Linked DNA regions of Sus scrofa. The protein of the gene in region 2 purifies or fractionates together with the protein of the main gene of each other region. This does not show direct contact. Links are inferred from orthologs where the notes say so. Each region holds a gene or a part of one and is shown on either strand. Other genes may lie near its edges.

Region 1 (4,036 bases), on a different chromosome or scaffold from region 2:
ATGGCTGTGGCTGTGGCAGAGGCCAGCAGCTGTAGCTCTGATTCGACCCCTAGCCTGGGAATGTCCATATGCCTCAGGTGCGATGCTTAAAAAAAAAAAAAAAGTGAATGCTTTGTAAAATTACACAGAAGTTAGCCATTATCTTCAGCTGGTGCATGACCTTTCCCAAGCATCAGACAGAGCCTACTCTGCTGCCTACTCACATTTGTCCTGTAGTGGCCTGGGAGAAGGGCTCAGAATAAGACAACAGGGCTCAACCTTCTGAGTTTACAATCTGCCTTGTCCCTGGCCTCCACTTCCTCACAATTTCTGGACTTGAGCACTAAGGTAAAGAACCAAGCTCTTGCACAAAGTCAACAACAAAAATATCCAACAACAAATATTTATTGAGCACCTAGTGTAAGTCAGGCACTGTGCTAAGCACCACATGAGCCTCAGCTTTCTCATAGGCAAAATGAAAAACTGTGCTTCTCAATAGAGAAACAATGAGCACGAGCATCTTGGGTGGGACAATCCTTTGTGGATATCTGTCCCCTGCCCTCTAAATGACAGGTATGTTATCTTGTAACGGGGACAAATCCACTGATGCCCCCACACATTTCCAAACGGCACCTAAGGGGAAGTTCCACCCTGGATGGAGAATTCCCAGAGTACCCTCCATGACTTCAGAAGCCAAGGAAAGGGGGTAAGCCTTGTAAGTGGCAGGTTTAGGATGATGCCCCGGCCCAAGATAAGCAGGATCTGGACCACGTCTCCGGGAAACAGCGCCTTCTATCAGCCCCAGGGTGATGTCAACATCCTTGGGGCTCTCAGGAGTCGGAACTCCAACTCCCTATGCAGCCAAAACACAACCCAGGAACTTGAGGTTTCCGTTCTCTACCATTATCTTTGGACTTTGGGTCCTGGAAGGAAAAGAATGGCAGTGCTCTCGTCACCCAGTCGCTCGGAATGCGAAGGGTTAACGCAGGTTGCCGCGCAGAAGCCCCCCAGTACCGCTAGAGGGACCATCCAACGCAGCGCCGCCGGGCGGCTTCGCGGTCACGTGGGGCGAGGGCGGGACCAAGCGAGAAGCCAGCCAATAGGCTGTGCTGTCGATGGGCTTGATAGCCAATAGGAGCAGGGAAAGGGGTCCCGGGACTAGGAAGAAACAGCGGCTGGGAGGGGGCTACTGGGACATGGGGCTTCTGACCATTCTGAAGAAGATGAAGCAGAAAGAGCGAGAGCTGCGACTGCTAATGCTGTATCCTCCCCGGCGCCGGAGCCGCGAGGGTAGCGGGATGCTGGGGGGGCTCCCACCGGGCGGGCGGTTTCAGGCGCCCCCTGCCGGGAGCGGGATGTGCGGCCGGCTGGCCCGTACCAACTGCCCTTCTGCGTCACTCACGTGGGCCCTACCATCGCTTTTGGCAGGGGGCCGGGAGGAGGCCGTACCACCGGCTCAGGGCGGGGGGGGGACTTCTTCCCAAGGCCAAAGGTATGGGAGTAAAGGCGCAGCGGCCGGGCCTGATGTCCCAGTGTAGGGGGAGGTGAGGCCCGGAGGTGACTCGAACGCTACCACCCGTCGGTCTGGCCCGTGCGTTGGGCCGCCGTTCTCCCCGGTCCTGACCGCCTCCTCCCCCTGTCAAAGGGTGCCAGGCCCCGGCCGCGCCCTCAAGGTCGGAATCCCGGGGGCGTGTGGGCCCCGCCCTCAGCACTGGGCGCAGGTGGCAGGTGGATATGGACTCTGCGGGTAATTTTGCCGCTGGGTCCAGCGCTTGGTTGCCTCCCGGCCGGTGTCACCACATCGGACAGCTTGTAGGCCCGAGAGCCCTGCTGACCTTCTGAGTCCCACTGGCAGGCATCACTCCTCTTTGCCAGCCCCCTATCCCCGGAGAGGCTGTGGTCCAAGAGCTGGACAATAAGATCTGGACCCCCAAGCTCCCCTTAGCAGGGGAGAGAAGACATTTATGTGCGCAAATAACTTGAATCTTCACGTCACGTCTGTTTTGACGAACTCTGAGAAAGGCACAGGGAATTCACTCATCCAGTAGACGTTTTTTGAGCGCCTGCTGTGGACCAGGCACTGTTCTGGGGGCTGGGATAAAACAGCAAAACAAACAAACAAAAATACCCGTATCTTTAAGGATGCTCTGTGTAAGGCTGAGGGGAGAAAGGAGAAAGATGTTAGCTAACAAAATAGGTAAAATATATAATGTGTGGCAATTAAGGCAGTTTAAATAAGGTAGTCAAAGAGGGCCATACTGAGAAGGTACTAGTTGAGGAAAGGCAGGGCGGTGAGGGAGGCACCACGTAGATGTCTGGGGAAATTGTTTAAGGAAAGGGAACAGCACGTGGAACGGCCTCCAGGGAGGAACTCAGCCGGGGTGTTCAGAGGACTGTCTGGGAAGGCGGTGTGGCTGAAAAGAATGAGCCCTGGAAGGTCAGGTCCAATGGAAGAGGCACCTCACCTGGGGCCTTTTGGTTCTGGACTTTTCCTTTAAAAGAAGTGCAGAGAGGGAGTTCCTGTGGTGGCAGAGTGGTAAGGAACCCGACTAGTATCCATGAGGACTCAGGTTCCATCCCTGACCTCGCTCAGTGAGTTAAGGATCCAGCGTTGCATGAGCTGTGGTATAGGTCGCAGACGCGGCTCAGATGCTGTGTTGCTATGGCTGTGGTGTAGGCCGGCAGCTGTAGCTCCACTTTGACCCCTAGCCTGGCAATGTCCATGTGCCACAGATGCAGCCCTAAAAAAGACCAAAAAAAAAAAAAAAAAAAGTGCAGAGAGGAGGTGAGATGTAAGACTAGTTAGGCCCCTGCCGTAACACAGGTGAGCTAGGATGGTAGCTGGGAAGCGGTGAGGTGACGGAAGTTGGGGGGACATGCTGAGAGTCAGGCCAGCAGGAACTGCTGCTGGATTGGACATGAGTGTGAGAAGAGTCAAGTGTGACTCCTGGGTTTCCTGCACCATCAGCAGAATGAGATGTTGGAGGGGCTGGGGAACATATTCAGGGGAAGGTGAGAGCTGAGTTTTGGCCATGTGGGAAGCCTCTGGGACATCCTAGAGATGGCAGCGAGGCAGCTGGATGTAGGGACCCATATCCAGGGGAGCAGCTGGGTGGGATGTATGAGCTTGGGAGTCCTCAGCGTAAAGATGCTGTTTGAAGCCTGGTCCTGGATGAGATTGCCGAGTCAGGGAGTGTGGACAGAGAAGGGGGCCTAGGCCTGCGCAGAGCAGGAGGTCAGGGCGAGGAGGAGGGGAAGGAGGAGGAATGACCGGGGAGATGGGAGAACCAGGCGAGGGGAGGAAGGAACTGGCCACTCTGTCAGCGCTGCTGCTGGAGCAGGAGGAAGAGGGCTGAGGACCGCCCAGCTAGTAAAGAACGACAGGGCCTCTCAGAGGACTGACCTCAGTAAGAGCAGTTTCAGGGAAGCAGTGGGAACAGAAATCTCATGGGTTCAAGAAAGAGCATGATGGAGTTCCCGTCGTGGCGCAGTGGTTAACGAATCCGACTAGGAACCATGAGGTTGCAGGTTCGCTCCCTGCCCTTGCTCAGTGGGTTAAGGATCCGGCGTTGCCTGAGCTGTGGTGTAGGTTGCAGACGTGGCTCGGATCCCGTGTTGCTGTGGCTCTGGTGTAGGCCGATGGCTACAGCTCCGACTGGACCCCTAGCCTGGGAATCTCCATATGCCGCGGGAGCGGCCCAAGAAATAGCAAAAAGACAAAAAACAAAAAACAAAAGAAAGAGCATGAGGACTGAAATTGGAGTGGGGAGTATGGACAGCAGCTTTAGGAGATCTGCTATAAAGGGCACGACGTAGGAGTTCCCTGGTAGCCCAGCGGTTAAGAACTTGGCGTTGTCACTGCTGTAGCTTGGGTTCCATCCCTGGCTCAGGAACTTCTGCATGCTGCAGGTGCAGTCCTGCCCCCCGCCCCCCAAATGGGGAAGGAAATCAAGGAAAAAGTAAGAAAGGAGGGGTCAAGAGAGGCTGTTTTTCACTTCTAAGTGGGAGAGACACCAGCTTGGCAGCTGAGGGGAATGAGCCTGCAGAGAAGGGACAA
Region 2 (2,181 bases):
CTTCCAGAACAGCTTAGAGACTTGTTACATTGTGCTCTGAAGCATGGTGTCAGGTGGAACAGTGTCAGTTTAGAACAGGACCATGGTGTAACATCCCTCCAGTGATGTTTGCCTTAAGGTGTCTAAGAAAACCCACAGGGCTAGAGAAAATAGCAGGATACCTATAACCCAAAGGGCCCTAGATAAACTACAAGTGGCTTTGCATTCCTGAGATTCTTCTGGATCACTGTTAAAATTGCCTCGGTCCAACCAGTTTGTTGGGTTCTGGGCAGGGAATCTCCATTTAATCGGGGAGACACTGATGATGCTGGTCTGGTAACCACTTACTTGACCTCAATTCCCTTTTCTACTGCATTTGGGCCTCCAGCCATCCCAGTTATTGAGACCAGGGATTAAAGAATAAAGACATATATCAACTTATGGAAACAGTATATGGTGTAACTGAACTTGAGCCCCATTCCTCCACCAGTGTTTTTTCCCTGAATGAGCACACATCTCGCAACTGTTTTTCAATTCCCATTTATTTTTGGCTCTTGGGGCAGTCATCTTTTCAATATGAAAAAAAGCAAGTTCAACACAAAATAGAAGTGTAGAATAGAACAAAACCAAGAGTAGGGGGGAAAGGCAATAGCAAAAAAGTTAAGAGATGAGATGTTGCCGAAAAGATGTTGTCCCCTCTCTGGCAAATGACATTAGGGTGACAGCACACACCTGTCCATGTATGTACAGAAGGGCTTATATTCATTTTTTCGTGTAAAAAGATAGGCTTAGGGACATGGCTCATCTCTCCCTTGCTCCCCTTGACCCTTTTCTGAACAGAGGAGAGGAATCCAAGGAGGTAAAGGGGAAGAAGGATTCCTCTGGACAGGGTCGGGGCCAGACTCCTACCAAGCAAACAACTCAGGACAGAGCTTGGAGGGAGACTGAAAATGGAGATAATACTGTTAACACCCCCCCAGAAGCTGAGAGGAGTAGGGAGATAAATGGAAATTAGGACTTCAACAGCCTGGAGGCCCCTCTCCAAAGCCCCACCCTTTCCTTGCAGGGACAGGGGAGGTTCCTGCATCTCCTTTCCCCCGGGCTACTTCTCAGGCCTAGGATGGTGGTCATCTATCAGGTTCTAAATGGGATTTGGTTGGAACCCAGCTTCTTGAAGCATTATCTCAAAAACAGGGAAATGTTTACTGGGCAGATGGGAGGAAGTGGGCACCAGAAGGAAACACAGGGTTACCCAGAATGGCAGAAATCTAGGTTCCCCAGAGTGGAAAGAGAGAGGAGACATTCAACAAACAACAAATATTTATTGAGCGCCTATTATGTGCCAGGCACTGTTCTAGATAGACCCCCCCCCCAAAGAAAAACAAGAGGCAGAAAACGCAAATTCTGAGGGAGAGGAAAGGGGCAGTTGAAGAAGGCTGAGGGGGCTGAGAAGCCTGAGGTGATGGGGCTCGGCCTTAGGCCTCCTCTTCGGCCTCCTCACCGAAATCCTCCTCCTCTTCTGCGGTGGCATCCTGGTACTGCTGGTACTCAGAGACGAGGTCATTCATGTTGCTCTCAGCCTCAGTGAACTCCATCTCGTCCATGCCCTCACCTGTGTACCAGTGGAGGAAGGCCTTTCGGCGGAACATGGCAGTGAACTGCTCTGAGATGCGCTTGAATAGCTCCTGGATGGCCGTGCTGTTGCCGATGAAGGTGACCGCCATCTTGAGGCCACGGGGAGGGATATCGCAGACAGCCGTCTTGACATTGTTGGGGATCCATTCTACGAAGTAGCTGCTATTCTTGTTCTGCACGTTGAGCATCTGCTCATCCACCTCCTTCATGGACATGCGCCCACGGAAGACAGCAGCCACAGTGAGGTACCGGCCATGGCGGGGGTCACAGGCAGCCATCATGTTCTTGGCATCGAAGACCTGCTGGGTGAGCTCAGGCACAGTGAGGGCCCGGTACTGCTGGCTTCCACGGCTGGTCAGAGGGGCAAAGCCGGGCATGAAGAAGTGGAGACGTGGGAAGGGCACCATATTGACTGCCAGCTTGCGGAGGTCAGCATTGAGCTGGCCAGGGAAGCGGAGGCAGGTGGTGACACCACTCATGGTGGCAGAGACAAGGTGGTTCAGGTCCCCATAGGTTGGCGTGGTCAGCTTGAGAGTGCGGAAGCAGATGTCGTAAAGGGCCTCATTG
Region 3 (4,205 bases), on a different chromosome or scaffold from region 2:
TTCTGAGCTTTCTGAGCAGACTTGGTGACCTTGCCAGCTCCAGCTGCCTTCTTGTCCACAGCTTTGATGACACCCACAGCAACTGTCTGTCTCATGTCACGAACAGCAAATCGGCCTATTAAAACAAAAATTAAATCACCATGAGAAACACTTTCTCTACATAACTGCTTTTCCATTTTTACTGAAGCTTAATTACACTAAAAAGGCACTCTTACCCAGAGGAGGATAGTCAGAGAAGCTCTCAACACACATGGGCTTGCCAGGAACCATATCGACAATGGCAGCATCACCAGATTTCAAGAACTTGGGGCCATCTTCCAGCTTTTTCCCAGAACGACGATCAATCTTCTCCTTCAGTTCAGCAAACTTGCAGGCAATGTGAGCTGTGTGGCAATCCAGCACAGGTGCGTAACCAGCACTGATCTGGCCAGGATGGTTCAGGATAATCACCTTAGGGAGAAAATTTGCATTTAGCACATTTTAGACATTTAGACAGTTAAGGTTCTGGCAGTTTAAAAACCTGTCACTGAAGTGTTACCTGAGCTGTAAAGCCAGCTGCTTCCATAGGTGGGTCATTTTTGCTGTCACCAGCCACATTGCCACGACGAACGTCTTTGACAGACACGTTTTTGACATTAAAGCCCACGTTGTCCCCAGGAAGGGCTTCACTCAAAGCTTCATGGTGCATTTCAACAGACTTGACTTCAGTTGTAACATTGACTGGAGCAAAGGTGACCACCATGCCAGGTTTGAGAACACCGGTCTCCACTCGGCCCACAGGGACTGTACCAATACCTGAAGTATTCACAGCACAGCATAATTATCTCGTATGAAGACAAACATCACTGCAACCCATACCAGCTGAGTGTAACGTTCAACTTACCACCAATTTTGTAGACGTCCTGGAGGGGCAGGCGCAAGGGCTTGTCAGTTGGACGAGTTGGTGGTAGAATGCAATCCAGAGCTTCAAGCAGTGTGGTTCCACTGGCATTGCCATCTTTACGGGTGACTTTCCATCCCTTGAACCAAGGCATCTAAAACACAAGATCATCAATTAGTGTTTTCAAACTTATCCCTTCCCAGACTTAAGTTTTGAGAACTCATCAAAACCACTTACATTAGCACTTGGCTCCAGCATGTTGTCACCATTCCAGCCAGAAATTGGCACAAATGCTACTGTATCAGGGTTGTAGCCAATTTTCTTAATGTAGGTGCTGACTTCCTTTACAATCTCTTCATATCTCTTCTGGCTGTAGGGTGGCTCAGTGGAATCCATTTTGTTAACGCCAACAATGAGCTGTTTCACACCCAGGGTGTAGGCCAGAAGAGCATGCTCACGGGTCTGCCCGTTCTTGGAAATACCTGCTTCGAATTCACCAACACCAGCAGCAACAATCAGGACAGCACAGTCAGCCTTTAAAAAAGAAAAAAAGGCCACACCCTGTGAAAACCTCTCCAAAAAGGACAGATCCATGGTTTCGCCAATTTATAGATAACTCAAAATGTTACTCTCAGGAGTTCTTAATCCTACAAACCTGGGAAGTGCCTGTAATCATGTTCTTAATAAAGTCTCTGTGTCCTGGAGCATCAATGATGGTCACGTAGTACTTGCTGGTCTCGAATTTCCACAGGGAGATGTCAATGGTAATACCACGCTCACGTTCAGCCTTTAGTTTGTCCAAGACCCAGGCATACTTGAAGGAGCCCTTTCCCATCTGCAGGGATTAAGAAGGGTTACTCGGTAACTAAACTCCTTAGTCCCACTTGGAAGCAATGCTAGGTTTCACTTCCATCTCCTAAACTTGGCTGGAGTTAAGCCACTTAGCAAACTTTGCAATGTACTAGTTCAAGTCAGATATACACTAGTTTTAGAGAACTACCACTTAATTTGCTGACGTTACTTTACCGACCTCCGCAGCCTCTTTTTCGAACTTTTCGATGGTTCTTTTGTCGATCCCACCGCATTTGTAGATCAGATGGCCAGTAGTGGTGGACTTGCCCGAATCGACGTGTCCGATGACGACGATGTTGATGTGAGTCTTCTCCTTTCCCATTTTTGCTTAGCTTTTAGCGATGGCTTTCACGACACCTAAGACGACAAAAACCTTCTTTAAACTACTGTCCCGACGACCGGAGACTCAGGCACAACCCCAACAGCCAAGGGCAAACTCCAGGGAGCATTAGCACCGGCGCCCTGCGGGCCCTGCCCGGCCTACACCCAGCGAACGGGGCCGCCCCGGCGCCCAGCCCCTCCCCCACCCGGGCCGCGAGTCCCGGGAAGCGGCGCGGGCAGCACCGCCCGGCCCTTTGTGCGCCGCCCGCCGTCCGCGTCCTCCATCTTGAGACCGGGAGCGGCCATCTTTCCGCGCTCGCAGCCCGCCCGGGCGGGGCGCTGGGTCTCCGACCGCCCGCCCCGCCCCGCCGCGGCCGTCTGCCCCGGGACCGCCGGGCACGGAGGCCACCTTGGGCGGCCTCGGCTGGGCCGCCCTGGCAGTAACACGCGGCTGCCGGCCGAACTCGAGCGCGAAGACAGACGGGGCGGGCGCGAAGGCGCGGATCGCACGCGGCGGCCACGGCGCCCCAGCAGGCCGCCACCGGGCACGCGGTAGGGAACCGCGAGAGCGGAGGGCCTCGAGTTCTCCACCTCCCCCCGCCCGCAGCTCGGAATCAGGACCAGGGCGCAGAGCCCTCTACGCGCGGGGGGCCGGGAGGCACGCTAAGGCCGTGGCCACCGGCGGAGGCCATGCGGACGGAGGCCACACCCGTACTCACCTGTGTCCTGGCGGCAAACCCGTTGCGAAAAAGAACGTTCGCGGGGACCACGGCGCTTATATATGGTCCTCCCCCACCCTCGGGGAAAAGGGCGGAGCCAGCACACGACACCACTTTCCCAGTTTACCCCGCGCCACCTCCACCCGGCACCGGTTCCACCGCCGTCCCCTCCCCCCATCTTCGGGGACCGTGGGCGATGTGCGTTCAGCCCACTGACGAGCACACGGCGCCCGGCGCATGCTCCTCTCAACCAGGAGGATGACGACTGCTGGTGGGTGGGAGGCGGGGTCGAGCGCTCACTCGGTTCTAGGTTTAGTGGGAGTTTATCGACGGTCCCTGGGATTTCCCTGGCTGAGGAGAGTCCTCCTTTTGTATGAATTACTCTCCGCACAGCTGGGGGGTGGGGCGGCGGGGAGGCGTCCAGAATCTTCCCTGAACCGGTCGTAGCTTAACTGCAAAGTTGGACCGAGATGGGAGCCCTTACCCGGCAGTACCCCACCGGTCCTCAGTCTTGCGGTCTCGCAGGTTAAGGACTAACCCCTGGAGCCGCTTCCTCTGCCGGGGCTTCTCCACCGCCCTTGCCGTCCGCGCCCCTTCCGGCTGGAGAGGGAGGCGTAAAAGGCCGGGGAACCGCGGCGGCAGGGGCCTCGGGGCGGTCTTCAGGGCCGAGAATCCGCGAGTGGCTCAGTTTGCTGACCAACAGCCTGGCGAACAGGCTCCTGCGCTGACCTCTTGGCTTTTTCCATTCAGTTCTTTTATCTAAGTTCGTTCTACACACCACGTGGTACTCCAGACGTCCAGTTTTTGAGTTTAGAATAGACTTAAGTACTACAGTTTTCTTTACTTCTAATCCTAATTTTATTACGTTTAAGACCCTGAGTGTGTGTCTACCCTCCTATTAACATTTTTTTTCCAGTGTATACTCTTGGTTGCAAGCATGAAAAACCTAAAAAGAATTTTTTGAGTTCAGTGCTTATACACGATCTCAAGTAGAGACTAAGATCTACAGCGCCAGGAAGCTTATCCACCCAATTTACTACTCCAACGTTTGCTGTGAAATCACTGTTTCTCAAAAATGGCCTATCCCATTTGAATAAACGGCTTCATCTTTTGTCGTCCTATCCATTGTGACTGCATTTTAGGCATAAATCCAGGGCAAGACAAGATGAGGCCTTTTTGGTTGGCAATCAGGCAGATATTCAAAAATATTCCTGAAGAAAGAGGAACCTTTATTTTAAATGAGCTAATTACTAGATCGTCTCTTCCACGTGTAGAGCACTACTGCAACTTTTTGAGCCAATCTATCAACAAATATTTGAGAACCTACTATGTGGCCAGAGCTAAGAGTGGCTCCGAAGCATATGCAAAAGAAATACTTCCTTTGGGGGAAGAAACCCACAATCTAATTGGAAAAGGGAAACTAATATATAGAG
Region 4 (3,567 bases), on a different chromosome or scaffold from region 2:
GAGATGGGCTTGCCAAATGGACTGTGTCTGTGTGTTAGCTTGCATGTGTGTGAGAAGGGAGGGTGTAAGAGGGAACAGCAGGGAAAACACATTTTTCATGCCTAGAATCATAAAAAAGAACACAGTCTGTTCAAAAACATTACGTCAGTAATGGTAAATCAATTATAAGACAGGAGAATGGTGCAAAAGACAACAGAAAGATCACATTTAGAGTCTTGTATGCTGGACATGAATAATCAGTAAAGAACTGGCAACAGATATCCCAGGCAATGTATAGGAGATGAATTGGAAGGGGCCAAAATTGAAGACTGAAACACTAACGCTCCAAAAGGGAGATGCTAAGTGATTGAACAAAGTGCGATGTAGTGAGAATGGAGTTGGGATGATTAACAGGGCTGAGAGAGGACTTGTGACTAGAGAAGATTCAAATTCAGTTGGATTCATCTAGAAGGACATAATCACTCACCTGAATGACTACAAATTGCACTCAGTTGGTTACTGGGCTGGAAACCCAGAATTTCAATACAGACACAATAAAGGCAGTTATCGTCTGTATGTTCCTGTAGTCCAGTGTCTTCTGTACTTTCTAAAAACAGAGAAGCATCTGAATGGATTGAATTCATTATTTCCGTGAGACTCATCTGCTGTCGTAGCAAGTGAAAAGAGTTTTTTACAAGACCTCCAGTTCCAGATGGAAGACCTGTGCATAAGTAAATATAAAACATAATCTGATGAAGAAAGTATCAATGACACATGGTTCAAGGTGCCTTAAACTACACGAAATTTTAAAGAAGGAAAAGTAGGAAAGAAAACCAGAACTCTTTCAAGGACTTCAAATCTAATCTTAACTGGGGAGAAAAAAAGGTAATTTGTTTTAAACAGCAGATATGTTTATATTAAGATGATGTTTTAAAAACAAAATAAAAAAGATTATACAATTAAGGCATCATTTCAATTACTCTCAATATTTGCATAAAGAAAAGTAGTAATTTGGAGTCTAAAGAGGTCCTTGTTAAGAAAAAAAAAAATCACGATTATAAAGCTTTAAGTCTGTGGCTGATATGCATGTATCAATGAAAATACTTATACAGTACAGGATCTCTCATAATAAAGAGAGATCCTATACTGTATAAGCACATTTTTCTTCGTTTTCCTCCAAACAGCTGTTTCTTAGACATATGAGGGTATTACAATTTTTTTATGTTATTATTTATTTGTTTAAAACAGAAGCACTTCATTTGGTTTTTGTCCTTTTGAGAAGCTAGGTACTTAGTTGTTTCCTAAGTTCTCCACACACGCAACAAAAATACTGTGGTTTAATGTTAAAGTACTCAAACAACTGTTTTGCTTATATTTTTTTAAAGCTGATCCAAAAGTAAGTATACCTGAATTTTGAGTGTCATCCTACTGAGAAGAATTTTCTTTTTAATATAGAGGAGAAAAAAAACCATATGTTACCTCCTGCATCATGGGCAAATACTCTTGCACCTCGATCATCATGTGGAGGTATGTTTTTTGTCTGAAAATAGGGAATATCCTTTACCTAAAATAGACATAAATCATGGTAAGTCCTATTATAAAAAGAAATTCACTTTATGAATGTTAGTACAATTAAATGAAATATAATTTAAACTGAATTACTATACCACATGAACTTGTAATCATAAGATTACTGAAGAGGGTTATTAAATCAAGTCAAAATTTGACAGAATAGCATAAAACCTTTAAAGTCTTATTTATTCTTGATGATTTAAGTGGATATTAAAACAATTATTTATCTGGAATGTCTTTAGACTTCTAAATAAATGTGTATTCTTCAGTACTATCTCTCATCTAGAGATTTCTGAGTTTTTTATGGGACTACCACAAGTGGCTGCCATGTATGGGATAAACGGAGTTAAGGATTACATAAAATAATGTGTACATCATACACTTCAAACTTACACAGTGTTATGTGTCAATTACATCTCAATTTAAAAAACCAACAAGTAATAACTCAAATATAACTAAAAAGCAAAACCAGGAACTAAAATTTGCTACAGAGAACAGACTGATAGAGAAACAAGATACTGTTTTGGTATGATAAGAGAAGAAAAGGATAGTGTTCTGAGGACCTAGAGATGCTAAATAAAAGAGAATAGAATAGTTGAGAAAAGTGAAATAATTTTCATCACAGAATTTCTTTAAATAAAACTACCTTAAAAAAAATCGCTTTCCCCCAAGTTATAATTTCACTCTAGATTATAATTCCTAGTAAGCAGTTATAGAATATGAAAAAACAGTAAACCAACTCACAAGAAAACAGAATTTATGATACCTGGAATATATCATTGATGTCTACTGGAAGGGCAAGACCAATGTAGTCATCTGAGCTACCGTAAGTCGCACTGGACACCATGGACCTCACGGAGGAAGATCGCTGCAGGGTATTTTGGTTAATAGGACTTAATAAATCTTCTTTATCTAACGAAGCATAACTTAAAGCTTTCATGAACCTATAATGCCATTAAAAAAACTGCATTAGTTTCTTGATTTGTAATATCAATCATATAAAGAAATTAGTTTATTTTCATACCTTCATAAAAAAGAGGAAGCCAGTCAAGTACTAAACACTGCCATCTTGTTTACTGAGAACATTATAAATAATTGGAAATATTTATCTCTTATAAATTGATATATAAAAAGCCATTATGTAATGTTGACTGTTGACCAAAAACAACTGTATGGTCTCCCAGGTGAAAGTGAAAAGGTGAGCAATTAAAGATAACTTTCAACATCCAGAAATAAAACAAAACAAAAAACTGACCTCAGAAGTCAGAGCGGTTATCTAAGGATGACCTTCACTGAGACTGCTAGATTTGCTATCATACAACTAAGGGCACATCAACTATCTCTATTTAACATTACTTTCATTAAAATAAGAATGATCACTTATTCTTTGTGTGGTAGGTACTGTAATGCTTTATCAGCATAAGATTTTGTAACACAAAGACACAAAACAATAAGAAAGGTATTATATAGAACTATTACAAGAGATAGATTTTATAAAGCAGAGATATTTTTCCTCAATGCATTCTCATCAGTGATTCTGCAATACGGAATACTGATATTTCCATAAGATACACTTTTCACATAAAGTCATATTCATGCAACAGACATGATAAAATATTTCTGTACACCTGCTTTGTATGTACAAAGCATTACACAAAGTTTCACAGTATATGTATGTTGCCAGTTGAAAACTCAAGTCATCTGAAATGTAATAATATAGCCTGAAATTAAAATGAAGGTCTTGAAAAACACATAAATACTTCATAAATAGAAAGCTACAAAAATTATCATAGCAAAAACCATTCCTACTTTCCACTAATTTTCACCTAAAAACCACACATAATTTAATTTTATAAATTTTATAAAATAGGTCAGTAGTTTTTAAATTTTACTGTCATACCTCTCTGATTCCATAAAACTCTGCAAAGACTACTGGAGTGAAAGGGAAATTATTGAATTAACTGCCTTCACAACACCCATTTCAACCTGAATAGCTCCATTTTTACATATTCCCAC

Evidence for each region.
Region 1: the proteins of TUBB (region 2) and ARL2 purify together in Homo sapiens (co-immunoprecipitation; 3 studies listed by BioGRID and IntAct, counting the BioPlex papers as one, with this or other methods). This does not show direct contact. The link is inferred for Sus scrofa from reciprocal best matches to the Homo sapiens genes TUBB and ARL2.
Region 3: the proteins of TUBB (region 2) and EEF1A1 fractionate together in Homo sapiens (co-fractionation; 3 studies listed by BioGRID). This does not show direct contact. The link is inferred for Sus scrofa from reciprocal best matches to the Homo sapiens genes TUBB and EEF1A1.
Region 4: the proteins of TUBB (region 2) and RICTOR purify together in Homo sapiens (affinity purification with mass spectrometry; 3 studies listed by BioGRID and IntAct, with this or other methods). This does not show direct contact. The link is inferred for Sus scrofa from reciprocal best matches to the Homo sapiens genes TUBB and RICTOR.

What each region holds. Positions count from the first base shown.
Region 1 is NC_010444.4:7,164,072-7,168,107, reverse strand, and holds the start of ARL2 (ADP-ribosylation factor-like protein 2), read left to right. Parts: upstream 1-1,175; coding exon 1,176-1,269; intron 1,270-4,036. UniProt on the Homo sapiens protein: Small GTP-binding protein which cycles between an inactive GDP-bound and an active GTP-bound form, and the rate of cycling is regulated by guanine nucleotide exchange factors (GEF) and GTPase-activating proteins (GAP).
Region 2 is NC_010449.5:23,250,563-23,252,743, reverse strand, and holds the end of TUBB (tubulin beta chain), read right to left. Parts: coding exon 1,455-2,181; 3' UTR 504-1,454; downstream 1-503. UniProt on the Homo sapiens protein: Tubulin is the major constituent of microtubules, a cylinder consisting of laterally associated linear protofilaments composed of alpha- and beta-tubulin heterodimers.
Region 3 is NC_010443.5:92,420,551-92,424,755, reverse strand, and holds the start of EEF1A1 (elongation factor 1-alpha 1), read right to left. Parts: upstream 2,806-4,205; 5' UTR 2,773-2,805; intron 2,090-2,772; 5' UTR 2,055-2,089; coding exon 1,911-2,054; intron 1,716-1,910; coding exon 1,536-1,715; intron 1,415-1,535; coding exon 1,118-1,414; intron 1,035-1,117; coding exon 884-1,034; intron 796-883; coding exon 539-795; intron 451-538; coding exon 216-450; intron 116-215; coding exon 1-115. UniProt on the Homo sapiens protein: Translation elongation factor that catalyzes the GTP-dependent binding of aminoacyl-tRNA (aa-tRNA) to the A-site of ribosomes during the elongation phase of protein synthesis.
Region 4 is NC_010458.4:24,134,966-24,138,532, forward strand, and holds part of RICTOR (rapamycin-insensitive companion of mTOR), read right to left. Parts: intron 2,496-3,567; coding exon 2,318-2,495; intron 1,544-2,317; coding exon 1,459-1,543; intron 701-1,458; coding exon 467-700; intron 1-466. UniProt on the Homo sapiens protein: Component of the mechanistic target of rapamycin complex 2 (mTORC2), which transduces signals from growth factors to pathways involved in proliferation, cytoskeletal organization, lipogenesis and anabolic output.